Linked DNA regions of Diceros bicornis minor. The protein of the gene in region 2 binds, or shares a complex with, the protein of the main gene of each other region. Links are inferred from orthologs where the notes say so. Each region holds a gene or a part of one and is shown on either strand. Other genes may lie near its edges.

Evidence for each region. The genes of interacting proteins can lie anywhere in the genome.
Region 1: the proteins of GBA1 (region 2) and SCARB2 are in contact, whole or in part, in a cryo-EM structure (PDB 9FJF), measured with the Homo sapiens proteins. The link is inferred for Diceros bicornis minor from reciprocal best matches to the Homo sapiens genes GBA1 and SCARB2. Residues at the interface, in NP_000148.2 of Homo sapiens: Leu130, Asn131, Ala134, Ile169, Glu190, Lys194, Leu195, Pro430, Arg434, Ile445, Thr446, Asp448; in NP_005497.1 of Homo sapiens: Lys161, Ala162, Tyr163, Gln164, Lys181, Glu183, Leu187, Phe191, Arg192.

What each region holds. Positions count from the first base shown.
Region 1 is NC_080747.1:61,701,138-61,712,019, forward strand, and holds the start of SCARB2 (lysosome membrane protein 2), read right to left. Parts: upstream 4,502-10,882; 5' UTR 4,204-4,501; coding exon 4,087-4,203; intron 1-4,086.
Region 2 is NC_080743.1:59,105,764-59,116,005, forward strand, and holds the start of GBA1 (lysosomal acid glucosylceramidase), read right to left. Parts: upstream 4,741-10,242; 5' UTR 4,357-4,740; intron 4,055-4,356; exon of another isoform or gene 3,973-4,054; 5' UTR 3,940-3,972; coding exon 3,885-3,939; intron 3,364-3,884; coding exon 3,172-3,363; intron 3,049-3,171; coding exon 2,902-3,048; intron 2,589-2,901; coding exon 2,455-2,588; intron 2,231-2,454; coding exon 2,058-2,230; intron 1,828-2,057; coding exon 1,590-1,827; intron 1,259-1,589; coding exon 1,034-1,258; intron 623-1,033; coding exon 459-622; intron 63-458; coding exon 1-62. UniProt on the Homo sapiens protein: Glucosylceramidase that catalyzes, within the lysosomal compartment, the hydrolysis of glucosylceramides/GlcCers (such as beta-D-glucosyl-(1<->1')-N-acylsphing-4-enine) into free ceramides (such as N-acylsphing-4-enine) and glucose.

The DNA of each region.
Region 1 (10,882 bases), on a different chromosome or scaffold from region 2:
TATGTCTTCATAACTCCGAAAAGAAGCAACTCAGGAAATGAGGTAGATATGCAAGGAGCCCTTTAAGATTATATAGAGTTGACTGTCTTTACATAAACAACAATGAAGATGTTTTATCAATTCGACTTTAAAAAAGAAGACCCCCACATATTCACCAATCACTGTTATTTGGTTAAATTGTCACTGACTAGATTTTATTTCTTGAGGCATCCATAGAACAGCTCCAAACTTGGCCAGCTGGTACTCGCTTGCCCAGAGCCTTAGGTTCCGGCAAAGGGCAAGTCTATTTGCCCTGCTCTTCCCACTCCTGAGACCTAATGCTATCAGCCTTCCTTGGCCTTGAAAAGGAAGAATGTGAACAGTCTCCTTCCCTCTCACTGGTTCCCTTGCCAGCCCATCTCCTAACTAGCCAGCCCTGACCTTGGCCCGCTCTGCGTCCCCATTTCTGGGAGATGTTCAAGTCTAAGTGCAAATTTAATATCCTGAGCTGCACATTTGCTCTCAAGCAAAGGTCACATGCCTGTCTCATAGAATCTCAGAAACCAGGAGCTAGAAGGAAACTTATCTATTGTATAAGCTTCAATTTCTAGCTGAGAAAAGAATAGCCAGAAGCAATAACAAACGTCCACATTCAGGCATTGTGGAAAGGACTGTGCCAGATGCTTTACATCAATCATTTTATTTCACTCTTGCAACAACCCTAAGGTAGGGATTCTTATGACCCCCGTTTTCAGAATGAGGAAACTAAGGTTTCAAGGGGTTCAATAATTTGCCACCTGGCTTGTTCAACTTAATCCAAGTATTTGTTAGTGACAGAAAAGGGAATTTTAACCAAGCTCTGCTGATTCTCAGGACACTGTTCTTTCAACTAAAACGAACAAAGTGAGGCCACAGGCATTTATCATGTACCTCCATGCACAGGCACTGTGCTTGGTACCAGGACAACTAGCGGGGTTACCAAATGAAATGTAACATACAATCCTGCCCTTCCAGGCTCTCTGGAGGAAAAGAGAGTGCTGGGTTTCTGCAAAGCTCTGTCTTTAGGGAGGTCCAAACACTTGACAGAGAAGGCCTGGTTCATGCTCAGAATATCCCTCAGGAAAAGGGTATGGACAGACAAAGGGGAGGCATTACTGGGCTTCTTTTGAAATAGAGAAAATTGAAGCAGAAACAATCACAGGACTTGCCCAAAACAAGGCACTAACCAGTGAAGCCAAGAATGGAACCAAATTGTCTTGGTTCCTTCTACGCCATTCACTGGACAGAATTAAAATCTCCCTTCAGTCACCTCTGTTCACTGCAGGGCTCAAGGACAATTATCACCTGAGGCAAATTCTTCTGATAGGAATTATGTTACTAAGCTTCTCAGAACTAGCCAAAGCTACTCACGTGAATTTCATCCCTTTTCTTTCTTCTCTTTTTAATGGAGACAAGTCAGGGCATGAACAATCTTCAAATGAGAAAACTAAGAACTGGGAGTATCAGAGTGGATTATATTACAACTATATTAAAGTCAAGGTATGAGTGAATTGTTCCATGATAATACTAATGGAAATAAGGATGGTGGCCAAAATTGATCTCCCGTTCCAGGCCTGAGATTGTGCTGAGGGCTTTACACAGACCACCTCACTCAGTCTCACAGTAACACACACACAGAGGCAGATCCCGGGTTTGTGTGAAGCTTACACAATGCAAGGAAGCCCTTCCTAAGAAAAAGATAATTTTGGATACAGAATTAGGTACAGGGTCTTGGAAGGGCCTGTGCAAGTGAAGAGCCCAAAACTTCAGCGTTGTGAGCTTCATGGTAAATGCAGTGCTGTGCCCAAGATAGCTAACATCCTCTCTTTTCCAAGTAATAACACTGAGGCTCAGAGAAGTTAAGTAGCTTGCCTGGAGTCAAAAAGCTTGTAAATGGCAAAGCTAGAATTTGAACATAGTGTGTCTGACTTTAAATCTTATGTATTTTTTCTTTGCTTATGTGGCTTCTAACAAAAATAAAACTGTTATCATTTACAAAACACTAACTATATCTCATGAAAATTACACCCATTTTCCCTAATAATTCTTATAACCTCTCTATTTCCATGAGTCGTTATTATCCCCATTTATAGATGGAGAAACTGAGAATCAAGAAAGGTGAAGTGCCTGGCCCAAGGTCACCCAGCTAGTACATGGTGGGGCCAGGACTCACGCCCAGGAGTGTTGACCTGCAAAGTCCTCACTCTGTCCCACTATCCCAGGCTACCTCCCTACAGGTGATCCAGGAGATCTGAATGATAATGATGGCATGTGTGACCTCTGGTTGACTCACAATACTCCCACCTGTCCACTGAAACTAGCCCTGTCATTGAGTTTCATACACCACATGGTGCAGTGTTCCTTAATGGGACTGGGCAATTCTGAAAGTCCACCTCCCCTGTACTATAATTTATTAGTCAGAGTCCATTTCTCCTGGAGAAAACCACATGGAAGCCAATCACTAAATATCAACGCAAACTCAAGCCCCAGCCAAGCTGCCCTACAGCCACCCCCCTGCCCCCCTTGAAATGGAGACTCACAGGGCATCTGAGGGCTGGTGAGAGCTGAGGCAACTGGAAAGATCACTCTTCTCACAGGGCTCTCCTGAAACAGTCTTTCAAAGCCACACAAGAAAAGTCACATATGGAGCATAATTGGATAGCTGAACTCTAGTCAAGAGTTTACATCCTTAAACAATCTCGCCATGGATTTGCAGGTAGACAGGAGTGGAGAAGGTTCAGTTTAGTCTTTTCCTTAAACATGAGTGCTCAGGGAAAACAACAGTCTTTGAGAGGCTCCGGCAGTCGGCTTCATCTTCCCTTGGCAATGTGAACTTTTAAAAAATTATATTATGCTTTGCCATGACTATTTTTTGTTTTGTTTTGTTTTAAGTTGCCTTTAGCTGCCAGATTTCACGTAATTGATGGCTTTTGGTAACCACTATTAAAGGGATATGTGCTGCCACCGGGAACAAGACAACTTTACTAACCGGAAGTGCAGTGATCCAGCTGGACCAGGCCGCAGCTTGTTTATCCGGCCAACAGCAAGCACAAGCCAGGGGGAGAAACTAAGCATGCGGTTATGGGTGCTAACGGAAGGCTGCTCCAGTGATTTTCTTTTTTAAAGGAAAAAGTGATCCCAGTAACTCTCTTTTGTTCCTCTTTCCACACGGATTGGTGGGTGTGGGTGAAAGGGCAGAAGAAACGACCACTGGTGAAGTCAACAATGGAGAAGTCTCTGAAATGACCAGCTCTCTAACTCACCCATCTGGGAGAAGAGACAGATTCAGAGTCTTTTAAGAATCTAAATGTATCTTCGCCTGAAGCGAATGGCTGTTTGAGAAGAGCAAGAATCGGTAGTGAGACAAAGCAACCAGACTGTTGGTACAAGATACCAAGCTGCTAAGTGGGGGGTTAGGGGGTGGGGCCGGGTAAGCACAGACTTTGACGGATTGAAATGTCACCCAGCCCCAAGGCCTAAGAGAGCTACCAACCGCCTTGCCTTGCCCTGCCCGGCCCAGGAAGGCAAGCACACAATAGATCACACACCCACTTCTCACCCGGAGCCCTACACCACTCCAAAGGCCTCAGCAAGCAGCCAACAAACCTGCCTCCTCTGTGGTGTCTTTCACTTAGTTTTGTTTCTTCATGAAGTGGGAGGGAAACGAGTTTGGGCCCAACAGAGATTGGGGTGTAGGGCAGGCCTGGGAGGGGGGAGATGCAAATGATAAAATATAAGTGAAAGCCTTTTTAAAAAGTCTAGATCCACAGTCTTATTTGTTATTATAAAGAGGACAAGTCATTTCCATTGCTCTCCATCCTTCTTTAACCCTTCCCGACCAACCCCAAGAAGACAAGGAAGAAAGGAGGGCTCTGGTGGGGCGAGTTCGCCGGGAGCAGACCTTCCCCGCACAAGGTTCAGCAGGGGGAGGGTGGGCTGCAAGCGCCCCCGGCACGCGCGGGTGCGCGAGGAAAGACACACACACACACACACACACACACACACACACACACACCGCCCCGCCTCACCTTCTCGAAGACACACACACACACACACGCCCCGCCTCACCTTCTCGATCTTCTGGTCCACGGCCTTCTGGAAGACCCGGGACACCAGCAGCGTGACGCTGGACACCAGCAGGAGCAGGGACAGCGTCCCCACCGTGTAGAAGCAGCACCTGCCCATTCTGCGCGCCGTTCACGGGCCGGGCCGGCGACCCAACAGGAGAGAGGGCGGGGCCGCCGCCGCAGCGCCGGCCGGAAGAGCCGGGATCCTCCGGCGCCCGCGCTCCGCTCCTGGCGTCCGCGGCGCGGCCCGGGCGGTGCGCGCGGCTGCCGGCTCGGCGGCTGGACGAGCGGGGCCCGCGGGGCGCCCGGCTGGCCGGCTGAGGAGTGGAACGAGCCGCTTTGGTTTCGGTTTCCCTGCCGGGGCAGCCGCGGCGCCCGCCTGGCGCAGCTCGGGAGGGAGAGAGGGAGCGCGCAGGGCCGTGACGCCCGCCGGCCGGGCTCGCCGCAGCCCCGGGAGGCAGCAGCCAGCAGCTGCGCGGGGGAGCGGGCGGGGCGGGGGCCGGCGCCGCAGTCATGTGCCCCGGAGCGGCGGTCGCGATTCGGTCCGCGAGAGCCGCGGCCGCTCCCGGCGGTCCCCCAGCGCTTCGGCTCCCTGAGCCGGGCCAGGCCCAGACGCGCCCCCGCCCCCTCGCCGCAGGCTCCCCCGTTACCCCGGAAAATCGCCCGTCCTCGGCTCATTCACTTACTCACCCCGCAGAAACGTACTGCGGGCCTACCAAGTGCCGAGCTGGGGAGTCAGGATGAACACATTGCCGCTGCTCTAGACGGGCTCACAAGTTGGCAGGGACACTGTGACAGCAATTACAGCGCAGTGTAAATAAGTGCTTTCACGAGGTGCGGGCTGAGATCTGTGCCAACCAGCAGATTCTGCCCGGGTGACCTAGGACCCCATAATTGACCTGGGTCTTGGAGGATGTGTAAGTTTGTCATTTGAGGGGTGTGTACAAGGCAGGGAGGAGGCATTTCAAGAAGAAGAAAAAGGTGTGGTAAGACACTTGGGGTGAAAGAGCAAGATTGTAAGAGGGAAGAAGGGAGTTCCTTTTGACTGTAGGTTCAGGGGTGCAGAGTGTGGGTTAGGAGGTGTTGAGGCCCCTTGGGGTCAGACTTGGAAGGGCTCTTTGTATCCCCTGGAAGAGTTGAGACTTTATCCCTCAGCAGTGGCAGTCAGCGAGAAGCTTCAAGCAGGTGACCCTGACGTTGTTCCCATCCGCTTTGCTCACTGTTATGTCCCAGGCACCCAGGCTAGAGCTGGCATAGAGCAGGGACTCAATAAATATTAGTCGAATGAGTGTCAACTATATGCTAGGCCTTGGCTAGGTGCTTACACGTACCCACTTATTTAATACCCACAACAGCCTTGTGAGTAGATGGCTGTCCCAGTCTCCCCAAAGCAGTGCCAGACAGGAGCACTGTGCAAGAAATTTATGAGGGAATATGGACAGGGAGCTGGACCTGGGATGCAGGTATGATCTCTGTGAAGGAGTCAAGCAAGGAAGGTTAGGTGGAAGGATGCAGCACTAAGAAAGTTCAGCAAGGCTGTAGGAGGTCCTTGAGCCAAATTGGCCTGTCTCAGGAGTCCAGCATCTCTTTGGAATAGGCCTCTTATGCTTAGTCATGGACCAGGAGCAGCCCTAGGACCTGGCTTCTGTACCAAGCTGGGGATGAATATCAGAGGATAGATTTCAGAGCTCCAGCAGCTGGGACAGGGCCATTGGTCAGTTATGCTCTGCACTAGAAGATCTGAGAAGTTCATTTTCTTGGCCACTATAGTAGTAGTATTGCCATTTTATACACAAGGAAACCATGAATCCGAGAGGTAAGTAACCTAACAAGTTCACCCAGTTGCTGATAGTGGATCCCGGCTGGACCAGAATGCAGGCCTGATGACCTCTAAAGCCCTCACTTTTTCTACCCTATGCATTGCTGCCTCCCAGCTGCCATCAGTGAGAATCTGGGGACAGGGAGTTCAGCTGGGAGACTTTGGTAAGGACTTGGTGAGATGCTGTGATGTATTAAAAATGGTGGCAGAGTGACATCAGCATCATGGCGGAATGAGCTTTCCCATAAACTCTTCCCCCGATAAGATACAACAAAAGGGACAGTCACAGACCAACAATGGACTCCTAGACAGCAAAAAGGAAGATCGGAAAGATCCACACTGCCACACATCTGAGAGTGGACGTGTTGGGGCCCCTGGAGGAAGTGGGGAGAGGTAAGGAGAACTCCTCTCCCTCCCCATTAGATCAGCAATCCGGGTCCCCGCGCCTCCCAGAGAGGGAGGGGCAGCCCTCTGCAGGGAAACCGTAGCTCTTCAGGCTCTCTCAGCCAGTGGGAAACTCTGGAAACTCCCACACAGAGGACTCAGCACTGCTGCAGGGGTGCCATCAACATCTGAGCACTCCAGGAAAGCAGATAACGGAGGGGCAAGCGAGAAACCCCCCCATGCCAGGGACCCAGCGGGCAAAAGACAGAGCTCCCCACCCCCCACCCCACATGCCCGACACTACAGCTCAGCCGACCAGACCAGGCAGAGCAGCCCAACTGATCCCAGCGAGCAGCCGGGGCAGAGCACAGGGGGCTCAGATTACACAGCTTTTAACCACCACACGGTGGCGGCAGGTGAAAACTGCAACCAGATACTTCCAGGATGAGGAAAAACAAAGCGAATACAGGAACCACGATGCAAAGGTACATGAAATCACCAGACCAGAAGGAAAATGACAAGCACCCAGAAACCAACCCTGAAGGCACAGAAATCCATAACCTAAACGACAGAGATTTCAAAATAGCTATCATAAAAAAACTCAATGAAATACAAGATGACACAGAGAAACAATTCAATGAGATAAGGAGTTTCCTCACAAAAGAGATTGAAATCATAAAGAAAAACCAGTCAGTACTGATGGAGATGAAGAACACAATGGAGGAGATAAAGGAGTGGAATCTTTAAAGAACAGAGCTGACAATATGGAGGAAAGAATTAGCATTATAGAGGATAGGAATACAGATATGCTCCAGATGGAGGAGGAGAGAGAACTAAGACTAAAAAGAAATGAAGAAAGTCTCCGAGAAATATCTGACTCTATTAGGAAATGTAACATAAGAATTATAGGTATTCCTGAGGGAGAAGAGAAGGAAAAAGGAACAGAGAGCCTATTCAAGGAAATAATAGCTGAGAACTTCCCAAATCTGGGGAGGGAGCAGGAAATACCAGTAAGTGAAGCCAATAGGTTGCCTAAATACGTCAACAGGCAAAGACCCACTCCACGGCATATAGTGGTAAGGCTGGCTAAAGTCAATGACGAAGAAACAATATTAAGGGCAGCTAGACAAAAACAAAAAATAATGTACAAAGGAAGTCCCATCAGGCTCTCAGCGGATTTCTCAACAGAAACTTTACAGTCTAGAAGAGACTGGAATGATATATTCAAAATACTGAAAGACAAAAACTTTCAGCCAAGAATACTCTATCCAGCAAAAATATCCTTCAAATATGATGGAGAAATAGTAACTTTCCCAGATAAACAAAAGCTAAGAGAGTTCATGGCCACGAGACCCCTACTACAGGAAATACTTAAGAAGGCCCTCAGGCCTGAAAAAAAGAAGAGAAAGGGAATACAAAGCTTGGAGCAAGGAGAATAATAGGTAGACAAGATCAGAAAAATAGTAGATCTTTACCAGAATAGGTTAGCAACCACTTAAATACCAAAATCAAAGATCAAAGGAAGGAAATCATCAAAAATAAATATAACCTCATCACTGTAAACACACACCCACAACACAAGATAGAATAAGTTGTAACAAGAATGACTTAGAAGGGGAAGAGGAAAGAGATTGATTTGCCTTAGTTTAAGGAAATAAAAGGCCATCAGATAATGGACTATCTCAAACACAAGATTTTTTATACAAACCTCAAGGTAACCACTAAACAAATAATCAAAACAAAACCACATATGATAAACAAAGAGAAAACTGGAAGAGTCATAAGACAGAACAACCAAACTGAATTGGCAGTCCGAAACAAATGGGACAAGAAACAAAGGAAATGCAAAAGAACTGTAAAATAAGTGACAAAACAGCAACATCAAGCCCTCATATATCAATAATTACCCAAAATGTAAATGGATTGAACTCTCCAATCAAAAGATACAGAGTGGCAGCATGGATTAAAAAGCAGGACCGAACAATATGCTGCCTCCAGGAAACACATCTCAGCTCTAAAGACAAGCGCAGGCTCAGAGTGAAAGGATAGAATACAATACTCCAAGCTAATAGCAAACAAAAGAAAGCAGGTGTTGCCATACTCATATCAGACAAAGTAGACTTCAAGATAAAACAGGTTAAGAGAGACAAAGAAGAGAAATATATAATGATAAAAGGGACACTCTACCAAGAAGACATATCAATTATAAATATATATGCACCCAACATAGGAGCACCAAAGTACATAAAGCAACTATTAACAAACCTAAAAGGAGATATTAACAACAACACAATAATAGTAGGGGATCTTAATACCCCACTTACACCAATGCATAGATTATCCAGACAAAAAGTCAATAAAGAAACAGTCAACTTAAATGAAAAATGGGATGAGATGGACCTAGTAGACATATACAGAGTACTCCATCCAAAAATAGCTGACTACACATTCTTCTCAAGTGCGCATGGAACATTCTCAAGGATAGACCATATGTTGGGAAACAAAGCAAGCCTCAATAAATTTAAGAAGATTGAAATCATAACAAGCATCTTTTCAGACCATAGTGCTATGAAACTGGAAATCAACTAGGAGAAAAAAACTGAGAAAGCCACAAAGTTGTGGAGATTAAACAACATGCTACTGAACAACCAATGGATCATTGATGAAACTAAAGGAGAAATCAAAAAATATCTGGAAACAAACAAAATGAAAATATGCCATACCAAATCATATGGGATGCAGCAAAAGCGGTCCTGAGAGGGAAATTCATAGCAATACAAGCCCACCTTAACAAACAAGGAAAAGCCCAAATAAGCAACCTTAAATTACACCTAACAGAACTAGAAAAGGAAGAACAAACAAAGCCCAAAGTCAGCAGAAGGAGAAAAATAATAAAAATCAGAGCAGAAATAAGTGAAATTGAGACCAAAAAAACAGTAGAAAGGATTAACGAAACAAAGAGTTGGTTCTTTGAGAAGATAAACAAAATTAACAAACCCTTAGCCAGGCTTACTAAGAAAAAAAGAGAAAACGCTCAAATAAATAAAATTAGAAATGAAAGAGGAGAAATTACAATGGATTCCACGGAAATACAAAGGATTATAAGAGAATACTATGAGAAATTATATGCCAACAAATTGGACAATCTAGAAGAAATGGATAAATTCTTAAACTCATACAACCTCGCAAAACTGAACCAAGAAGGAATGGAGAATCTGATAGACCAATCACAAGTAAAGAGATTGAAATAGTAATCAAAAACCTCCCAAAAAATAAAAGTCCAGGACCAGATGGCTTCTCCAGTGAATTTTACCAAACATTCGAAGAAGATTTAATAGCCATCCTTCTCAAACTATTCCAAAAAATGGAGGAAGATGGAACACTTCCTAACTCATTCTATGAGGCCAACATCACCCTGATACCAAAGCCAGACAAAGACAATACAAAGAAGGAAAATTACAGGCAAATATTGCTGACGAACATAGATGCAAAAATCCTCAACAAAATATTGGCAAAGCGAGTACAGCAATACATTAAAAAGATCATACACCATGATCAAGTGGGATGTATACCAGGGACGCAAGGATGGTTCAACATCCACAAATCAATCAACGTGATACACCACATCAACAAAACAAAGAATAAAAACCACATGGTCATCTCAACAGATGCACAGAAGGCATTTGACAAGATATAACATCCATTTATGATAAAAACTCTCAACAAAATGGGTATAGAAGGAAAATACCTCAACATAATAAAGCTTATTTGTGACAAACCCACAGCCAACATCATACTCAACAGGGAAAGACTGAAAGCCACTCCTCCGAGAACAGGAACAAGACAAGTCTGCCCACTCTCACCACTCTTATTCAACATAGTACCGGAGGTTTTGACCAGAGCAATTAGGCAAGAAAAAGGAATAAAAGGAATCCAAATAGGCAACGAAGAAGTGAAACTCTCACTATTTGCAGATGACATGATTTTATATGTAGAAAACCCTAAAGAATCCATTGGAAAACTATTAGAAATAATGAACAACTACAGCAAAGTCGCAGGGTACGAAATCAGTTGCATTTCTGTATGCTAATAACGAACTAACAGAAAAAGAGCTCAAAAAGATAATACCATTTACAATTGCATCAAAAAGAATAAAATATCTAGGAATAAATCTTACCAAGGAGGTGAAAGACCTATACAATGAAAACTACAAGACATTATTGAAAGAAATTGATGATGACATAAAGAAATGGAAAGACGTCCCATGGATTGGAAGAATAAACCTAGTTAAAATGTCTATATTACCTAAAGCAATCTACAGATTCAATGCAATCCCAATCAGAATCCCAAGGACATTCTTCAGGGAAATAGAAAAAAGAATACTAAATTTATATGGGGCAACAAAAGACTGCGAATAGCTTAAGCAATCCTAAAAAAAAAAACAACAAAACTGGAGGCATCACCATCTCTGACTTCAAAACATACTACAAAGCAGTAGTAATCAAAACAGCATGGTACTGGTACAAAAACAGACACACAGATCAATGGAACAGAATTGAAAGCCCAGAAATAAAACCACACATATACAGACAGC
Region 2 (10,242 bases):
CCAAGTTGGTCTTCTCACTGGCAACCAGCCCCACTCTCTGGGAGCCCTCAGGAATGAACTTGCTGAAGTGGGAACAGGTATTGTCAGGGACCTCAGCCTAGCCCCTCTGGCCCTGAGGGCAGCTCCCATCAACCCCTCACCTAAGAAGTCAACCTCCGCATTGCCCAACCCCCCCAGAACCCTTGCCAAAGCTCTGCCCTAACTCTCCAGGCCTCGAGCCACGCTGCTAGACATGCCCTGCCCACCTGCCTCCCAACCCAGCATTGGGCATTTAGGGGTTTTCTGTGTCTCTGATGCCATCTAGTCACTTCCTGTCTAGATGGTGCAAGAGGGACAGGTGTTCCTCTCCCAAGGTTCCCACCTTAAACACCTTCCTGCTCCCTCATTTAGGGTGACGTAAGCCCAATGCAGGAGATGCTAGGCCTGGCGTGGAGTGGGAGCACCTGCCCTCCACTCACCTGAAGTGGCCAAGGTGGTAGAACATGGGCTGTTTGTAAAACGTGTCCTTGGTGATGTCCACGATGATGGGGCTGTCAACAAAGTTGCGCACCCAGTTGGGTCCCCCTTCGGGGTTCAGGGCAAGGTTCCAGTCAGTCCAGCCAACCACATGGTAGAGGAGGTTCTAGGGTGGGGACAAGGCAGAGAGACAAAGGCTCAACACTGGGTCCCCAGAGAATGGAGTTAAGGGTCACATGAGGGAGACGGGCTATGGTGCCTCAGCCCTGTGACGGGACGCTCTGTATCCTTAATATCTAAGGAGAGAGGGATTGTGAGGATGAAGACATCACAAGAGAAGCTGAGAAATCCGAGGCAGATGTAACTGCCCGAGACCCAAGCATTCGGGAAAAGGGTGATGGGGTGTGCAGATCTATGAAGGGAAAGCAAGACAGGGAATCATGATATCCCCAAATTTGCCCCAGCGAGCAAGCCATCTGGGGAAAAGTTGGAGAGGAGGGCCTTCTGTCAGCCTGTGGTGAGACCAGGAAGGGCTCTGAGGTGGTCTGCTTTGTGGAAAGGGAGACAGGTGGCTCACCGTGATGATGCTGTGGCTATACTGCATCCCTCGATCCCAGGAGCCTAGGCGCACACTCTGCTCCCAGAACTTGGAGCCCACACAGGCCTCTGAGGCAAAGAGCGTGGTGTTGGGGAACAGGCGGTGTGTCTCCCCCAGCGTGGCTTTTGCTGGAGCTAGAAAGTCCAGGTACCAATGTACAGCGATACCATGAACGTACTTAGCTGCCTCTGGGTCCTCCAGCACCTGTACAGGAAAGGGGAAGGACACCTGGGGAAAGGGAGCCACTGAACCTGGCCCCTGCACGGAGGGTTCTGGAAGAAGGACTAGGTGACCTGAGACATGGGCGGTGGGATGAACACAATTAGAAGGGATTAAAGTGACAACCGGGGGATCCATGGGGCCCTGGCGATCCCAGAGCAAGTCTCCATCCCCTCAGCACCACAGGGGTGGTACCTGGCCCCAGCCTGGGGTGCTCTAGGAATGAAGAGCAGGAGAGGCACTCTGTTCGAGAGCCAGTCATTTGGATGCTGGATTTGGGGGTCACTAGGGTACCCATGGAGGTCCTGGGCCTTACCACTTGGGCCCAGCGGGGCAGCAGCAAGCGTTGGTCATCCAGTATGAGCAGACGGACATTGTGGTGCGTACTGTTGGCAAGGGCAGGACCCAGGTCACGGGCAATGAAGTCTCGCTGGTGTTCAGGGGTGAAGCCCAGGCACTGGAAGGGGTACCCGCTAATGAGCCCTGCAGAAGGCTCGTTCTCAGCTGTCACTGCCCAGAACTGTAACTTGTGCTCAGCATAGGCATCCAGGAACCTGGCAGGAGGAAAGGTGTGAGTGGCCAAGAAAGGGGACCAAGACTGGAGAATAGGAGGCCTGATAAGGTGGGGAAAACTGAGGGGTCCGAGTCTGAAAGGCCCAGAAGGTAGAAAGACGAGGTGAGGAGAGTCAGATCTGGAGGCAGAACCAGGTCGAGGGTTGGGACATAGACCAGGGTGTCCAAAAGGGGAGGTTGATTAGACCCCATGCCCTTGCTGCCCCCTTACTTGACAAAGTATCTGGCCCAAGTCTGGTGGTAGAGATCCCCTGGCTGACCCTTGAGTGACCCCTTCCCATTCACTTTCCCATTGGTCTTGAGCCAAGTGGGTGATGTCCAGGGACTGGCGAAGAGTGAGACAGGGCGCTGGGCCAAATTCAAGGCTTGGTGAATCAGGGGTATCTAGAGACAAAGGTAGTGAGGAGAGAGACACCCAGAGTTGGAACATAGACAAACTGGCCCAACCAGTGCATCAGGCCTAGCCATCAGCCTCCGCCCTCCTACCCCCAGGACAAAACGGAGAGCAGAGGGCAGGTTCTATGTCTCTCTGCAGGCTGCTCTAGCCTGAGGCTTCTCAACCACCAGGCATCAATGCCACCAGGGCCTGAGGCAGCCAGATTGCCCACCTTGAGTTTGACATCTTCCTCTGGGAGGCTGAAGTTGTGCAACTGGAAGTCATCAGGGGTGTCGGCATAGGTGTATATGCGGATGGAGAAGTCACAGCTGGCCATGGGTACCCGGATGATGTTGTATTCGATTCCTGCAGAAAAAGAAGACCAAGATACAGGAGTCTGAGTCAATAGGAGAATGTGGGACCTGGCCTACCACTTGCCAGTACTGAATTACATCTGAGTCAGACCAAAGGGAACTTGGGTTGGGGCCTGTGGAGCCAGGCACATGGGTGAAGCACAGGCCCCCAAGCCTGAGAGTCGCCAAGACTCAGTGGAAGATGTGTAGGACATTTTTATTCCACTGGGCATTAGGAGAGGACCCAAATGTTAGGGATGGGTGGAAGTCAAGGTCAAAGGAAAGGACAGGGTCAACTGCACTGTGTCATCTTGCCCCCTCCTCACCTTCTTCAGAGAAGTACGATTTGAGTAGCAAATCCTGGGCAGGGGGTGACAGGGCAAGGATGTTGAGAGCAGCAGCATCTGTCATGGCCCCTCCAAATCCCTTCACTTTCTGGAACTTCTGATCTGGCTGCAGGGTCAGTAGCAGCCCTGGGGACATCCACAGGGAATAAAGGGTGTCAGTGCACAGGGGAGAAACTCCGTGGTGGTTGCTGGCATGATTTAGTTCCAGCAGGATTGAGCCTGGCTCGAGGTGAGGGGTGTAGTGGTCACCTGTGCCCGTGCGGTTGGCCTGGATGGTCCCCTGACTCAGCTCCATTCGGCGGCCACTGCGTGTGCTCTCATAGCGGCTGAAGGTGCCAGTGGCAGGCAGGGTCAGGGGGTCAAGAGAGTCACAATACGTGGCATTGCAGACACAGACCACTGAGCTGTAGCCAAAGCTTTTAGGGCTGCATGGGCGGGCACCTGGAAAGGAGGAAGCACAAGCAGAGGCAAGGGCTGAGGGATGAAGATGGGGTGTAGGCGCACACAGGTTGGAAAGCGAGACCCAACACTGGTTTCAAAAATCCTCTTGCTGGGGCTGGCCCTGTGGCATAGCGGTTAAGTGCGCGCGCTCCGCTGCTGGCGGCCCGGGTTCGGATCCTGGGCGCGCACTGACGCACTGCTTGTCAGGCTATGCTGTGGCGGCGTCCCATATAAAGTAGAGGAAGATGGGCACGGATGTTAACCCAGGGCCAATCTTCCTCGGCAGAAAAAGGGGAGGATTGGCATGGATGTTAGCTCAGGGCTGATCTTCCTCACAAAAAAAAAAAAAAAGGAAAAAAAAAAATCCTCTTGCTGTACCCTCACCCCAAGGTTGGTCTCAGTCACTCCAAAGGGTTGCTGAGCACCTGCTGGAGTGCACCACCAGTATGCCAGAAGGCTCACAAAGGCCCATAAGGCAGAAGGGAGCCTCGGGCTACCTCCTTCCTCCTTGACTCACTCACCTGATGCCCACGAAACTGCCTGAAGTAGAAGCAATCCCATGAGGCTGGCAGCCATGATGCCTACCCGGCCCAGGTGCTTGAGACACTCCTGAGAACAGAATAAGAAGCGGCTAGAAGGCAAGCCCCTCTCCACCCTTCAGCTACTCTCCCAGGCAGGGCTCGCTGCCTGTGGGCACCCAGAGCCTAGTGTCCCACCTTTAATAGGGATGGAACAAGGCCCACAGACACCTGAGTGCAGCCCTCCCTCCAAGCCCCCTGCTAGTGAAAGCTCTCTGCCCACCCCCACCAGGACCCGCCTCCACCCCTCTTCTCACCCATTTCTCCCTCGACGTCCCCCCATCTGTTCCTCCATCAAAGAGCCATGATGGCCTGGGTTCGAGGAGAGTCTGTCATTCACTGAATTCCAGGGCCTGGATGGCCAGGATTCCAGAAGCAGCGTGACAAGACCAATTGGGAGCCCTGGCCCACTCACCTCTATGGGAGGACTTGAAAGCTCTACCACTAGATGAGAAGTCTGCAGGGTTCCCGAGCCTCAGCGGGATAGAGGATCCACTAAATAAAAACAGAGATGCAGGTACCCGCGGTAGCTACTGACACCAGATTAGCCCTTCGGGTTAATTCCGGCATAATAGAGTGGACAGGTCATGTGATGACGACGGGAGAGTCACATGATACAGGAAATGAGGCAATTGCAACCATACTTGTAAAGGGCTACTGGCTTCTTCCGGGCTGTTGGCGATTACACACTCTATGATAAATTCTGGAAGGCTTGTGTGGATGACTACTTTAGGAAGAATCTAGATCAAAGATCTGAGTGGAGGCTTGGGTAGAGACTCCTGAATCCCATAGGATGGGAACCACAGCAGGCACATTGCTTTCTTGAGAAAAAATTTTAAATACTAATACAAGTGATACTAATAAAAGAAGTTCACTGTGCAAAATACTGAAGTCAAAATACTGAGAGGATTAAGACAGTCTTTGCCCTATAGAGGCTCATGAGGCAGGGGAGTCATGTGATTACACGGATAGTTACAGATAAAGACAAAAACAGGTAACAGGTGTGCATGGAGGGAGGCTTCATTGGGGGGAGTTGTCCTGGAAGGCTTCCCGGAGGAGAAGGGGCGGGGATTATTAACCAGCGAAGTCCAGGGAGGATGGGCCCTAGGCAGAGGGAGGGCCTGACTGAAGGGAGGGAGTCATCAACATGGCGCCTCTCGAGACCTCCATTCTTTCATCATCAGATGCAGCTTGTCGTAACTGTTCTTCCTTTCTCACAGGACAGGGAGGTTGTGTAAAGTAGTTCAGAAATTGGAAAGGGTTGCAGAAAGCTGTATCCTCCGTGGATAAGAGAAGGGGGTGGTCCATGCCTCATGCCTCATGGACCACATCACATATGACTTAGTGGTTGTGACACAACCGTGACCTGACAACTCCAGCTCTCTGAGCCTGCTTCCTCACCTGTAAAATGGAGGCAGTCCCACACCCTCATGGGTCATTACCAGAATCTGTGAGATGAGCACAATGCCTGGTGCATAGTAGGTGCTTGGGAACCGCCTGTTTGTTGTTTTTGTCTCTTTGTTTTTTTTTTTTTTTATAATTTTATTTATTTATTTTCCCCCCAAAGCCCCAGTAGATAGTTGTATGTCATAGCTGCACATCCTTCTAGCTGCCGTATGTGGGACGCAGCCTCAGCATGGCCAGAGAAGCGGTGCGTCGGTGCGCACCCGGGACCCGAACCTGGGCCGCCAGCGGTGGAGCGCGCGCACTTAGCCGCTAAGCCACGGGACCGGCCCTGTCTCTTTGTTTTTTAAAATTATCTCAGTGAGTCTTTTCCTGACACACTCCAGGCAAAATGGATCCTCCCTTCTTCTAGGTTCCTATAGCACTTAAGTATATAGTCTCAGATGAGCTGGATTTGAATCCTGGCTTCACCATTTCCTAGCTGTTTGACCTTCAATAAATTACTTTAATCACTCTAAGCCTGTATTTCTCATCTCTAAAAGAGGAGTGATGACTCCTACCTCCTGGAGTTGCTGTGAGGTTTAAGTACGATAATGTGTGTGTCTAGCACAGTGCTTGGCACGAAATATTGCAACCAGTTAGGTCTGTGTTTATGGAGGGAGCTTGGAGTTCCCTCCAAGGAATGTCTTACTCATTCTGTGTAGACGGCCTGGCACAGAGTGGGTAGGTGCCAAATTGTTGAACTGAATTGAACCATCATCACTATGTCAGTATTGGCCCCATCTGGACTTCCTGTTTTTCCAGGAAATGTTACGCAGGGCTTGTTCTCTGAAGGAGAGCAGGTGATATCTAGTACCTTACTTCCCTTTAGTTCATTCACTCCACAAATATTTATTAAGCACATACTACATTTGCCCCTGCCTGCTCTGTTGGGTGTAGAGCCCCCCTCCCCTCCCTGTTTCGCTCTGCAGGCACAGAGTTTGTGAGTCTCTTGTTTCTTCTTTTTATCCTTCAGTTTGCAAAAGTTTTCCAGAGTGGATACCATCTCATCGTTCAGATTTCTCTCACAATGTGATTTGCTCTTGAGGCTTTTATATTTTATTTTCTAAATAAAGTTGGTTATAATAAGGGCCAATATTTATTGAGTACTTATTCTGTGCTATTTTATGTTCATTGTCTCATTTCATTCTCACAAGGCAGATACTATTATTTTCCCCATCTTAGAGAGGAGGAAGCTAAGACTCTGAAAGGTCATTAAATTGCTCCAAGTCCCTTGGCTACTCAGTGGCAGAACCTGAATTCATGTCCAGAGTCCTATGACACACATCACACATTTAATGAGTGTCTCCAGTATGCCAAATGCCATGCTAGGCGCTGGTTATTTTCAGAAGCTGCTGTGCTGGTCTACAGTGTTCACTTTGTATTGTTTTAAAATCATCCTTTGTTTTTATGGAGTGTTTTACCTGCCCAAGATGAAGCCCAAGTTGGCTTCTGAAGTGCTGGCTATGTGGCAACATTTCTGGATCCATGTCCTCCAAGGGTATTAGTCAGGGGATACCAATTCAATAATGAAACAAAATCCAGAACTCCCAAGTTGGACAAGAATGATTGATTTTCAGTTGGGGAGGGGGGGGCCCTGCCTCCATCCCTGAGCTTCACTCTCCCCACCCTGGGAGATCTCAGCCCAACAGCCCGAGCACCCCCTTTTCATAGCAAGTATTTTCTAACATACTCTTTACTATCCTGAAATGAATGTATAGATGAGATGACTTACCTACACACATAATTTAGAAGAAAAATAATGGGACTATTTTATTATTATTTTTTTCTTTTTTTGTGAAGAAGATTAGCCCTGAGCTAATATCTGATGGCAATCCTCCTCTTTTTGCTGAGGAAGATTGGCCCTGGGCTAACATCCATGCCCATCTTCCTCCACTTTATATGGGACACTGCCACAGCATGGCCTGACAAGCAGTGCGTCGGTGCGCAGCTGGGATCCAAACCTGCAAACCCCAGGCGGTCGAAGCGGAGCACGAGCACTTAACTGCTGCGCCACCGGGCCGTCTGTAATGGGACTATTTTTTTATAATAAAATATGTTTTCAATAAGTAAATGCTGGGGCCGGCCCTGTGGCTTAGCGGTTAAGTGCGCGTGCTCCGCCACTGGTGGCCTGGGGTTCGGATCCCGCGCACCGACGCACCGCTTCTCTGGCCATGCTGAGGTCGCATCCCACATACAGCAACTAGAAGGATGTGCAACTATGACATACAACTATCTACTGGGGCTTTGGGGAAAATAAAAAAAGGAGAGGATTGGCAATAGATGTTAGCTCAGAGCTGGTCTTCCTCAGCAAAAAGAGGAGGATTAGCACAGATGTTAGCTCAGGGCCAATCGTCCTCAAAAAAAAAAAAAAAGTAAATGCTTAGGCACGATTACCTAGAACACATAATGTAGTCAGATCTTACACTAACCTAAATGGAATAAATTAATATTTAAAAGAAGCAAAAACAGCCCGTGAATTAATAAATAATTTCAATGTCATTTTCACTATACGTAATTTTCACAACATGTAATTATCACTGTGCTGCAAAAACAAAAAATATATAAAAGTCAAAATGGTTAAAAGTCAATTTTCATGAATAAGATTCAGTACATTCCACATGTCTACAAATTTAATATTTGATTCTAAGCCTTGGCAATTCAATAAGGAAAAGGATAGTCTTTTCAACAAATGGTGCTGAGACAACTAGGTATTCACATGCAAAAAGATAAACTTAGACCCTTACCTCACTCCATAACCAAAAATTAAAGCAAAATAGATCATAGACCTAAATGTAAGAGTTAAAACTATAAAACTCCCGGAAGAAGGCATAGGAGTAAATCTTCGTGACCTTGGATTAGGCAATGGTTTCTTTTTCTTTTTTTTTTAAACAACAATAAACATTTATTATCTCACATCGTTTCTGTGGGTCAGGAATTCAGGAGTGGCTTAGCTGGACAGTTCAGATTTGAGGTTTCTCATGAGACTGTAGCCAAGATGTTGGCCAGGGCTGCAGTCATCTGCGGGCTTGACTGGGCCAAGGCTCTGCTTTCAAGATGAGCCACTAACTAACAGAGGTGGTGAACTGGGGCTGGCCGTTGGCAGGAGGCCTCATTTCCTCGCCATGTGGACTTATCCAAAGGACTGCTTCAGTGTCCTCACATCATTCATGGCAGCTGGATTCCTCCAGAGTGAGTGATCTAAGAGCAAGGCAGAAGCCACAACGTCCTAGGATTGCACATTATCATTTCTGCGATATCCTATTGGTTACACAGATCTTCCCTATACAGGGTGTGTGGGGTGGACAAAACAAAGGCGTGAACACCAGGAGGTGGGGAGCATTTGGGGCCATCTAGGAGGCAATCTGCCATAGTCCACCCTCTGGCCCCCAATAAGTCATGTCCCTCCAACATGTAAATACCCTTACCTCCTCCCAAAGTCCCCAAAAGTCTCATCTTATTATAGCAAAAGTCCAGAATCTCATTTGGCAATGGTTTCTTATATATAAATCCAAAACACAAGTGACAGGAGGAAAAAAAGATAAATTGGACTTCATCAAAACAAAAAGTATTTGTGCTTCAAGGATGCCATCAAGAAAGTGAAAAGACAACCAACCCACAGAATAGGAGAAAATATTTGCAAATCATATCTCTGATAAGGGCCTAGTATTCAAAATATATGAAGAACTCTTACAACTCAATAATAAAAAGATAACCTAATTTAAAAATGGGTGAAGGACTTTTTTTTTCCTGAGGAAGGTTCACCCTGAGCTAACATCCATTGCCAATCCTCCTCTTTTTTGGCTTGAGGAAGATTAACCCTGAGCTAACATCTGTGCCCATCCTCCTCTATTTTGTATGTGGGTCACCGCCACAGCATGGCTGATGAGTAGTGTAGGTCCGCGCCTGGGACCCAAACCCACAAACTCTGTGTGCTGAAGCAGAGCACGCCGAACTTAACCACTATGCCATGGGACCGGCTCCAGGGGTAAAGGATTTGAATAGACATTTCTCCAAAGATAATATACAAATGGCCAACAAGCACATGAAAAGATGCTCGACAACCTTAGTCATTAAGGAAATGCAAATCAAAACCACTATGAGATATCACTTCACATGCCCAAGGATGGCTATAATCAAAAAGGCAGACAATAACAAATGTTAACAGGATGTGGAGAAATTACAATGCTCGTATGTTACTGGTGGGAATGTATAATGATGCAGTCACTTTGGAAAAGAGTTTGGCAGTTTCTCAAAATGTTAAACATAGAGCTACCATATGACCCAGCAATTCCACTTGTAGGTATCTACTTAAGATGAATGAAAACATAGGTCCACACAAAGACTTGCAAGTGAATGTTTACAGCAGCGTTATTCATGGAAACAACATAAATGTCCAACAGTTGGTGAATGAATAAACAAATTGTCGTATTTCCCTACAATGGAATACTATTCAGCAATAAAAAGGAACAAAATACTGATACATGCAACAATGAACCTCAAAAACATTATGCCAAGTGAAAGAAGCCAGCTACAAAAGATCACATATTGTCTGATTCCATTTATATGAAATTCTAGACTAGGTGAATGTATAAAGACAGGAAATAGATTAGTGGTTGCCTGGGGCTGGGGTGGGAATGGAGATTAACTGTTGTACAACTCAGTAAATTTACTAAAAAATCACCGAACTGTACACTTACAAGGAGAGACTCTTATAATATGTAAATTATACCTCAATTAAGCTAGTAAAAAAATTTATTACATATGTGCAGTCAGTTCATTGCTTTTGCAGGAAGTGCACTACTGCACTGAAACTCTTTTCAACTAAACATATTACATAGTTGGAAATGCTCTAATA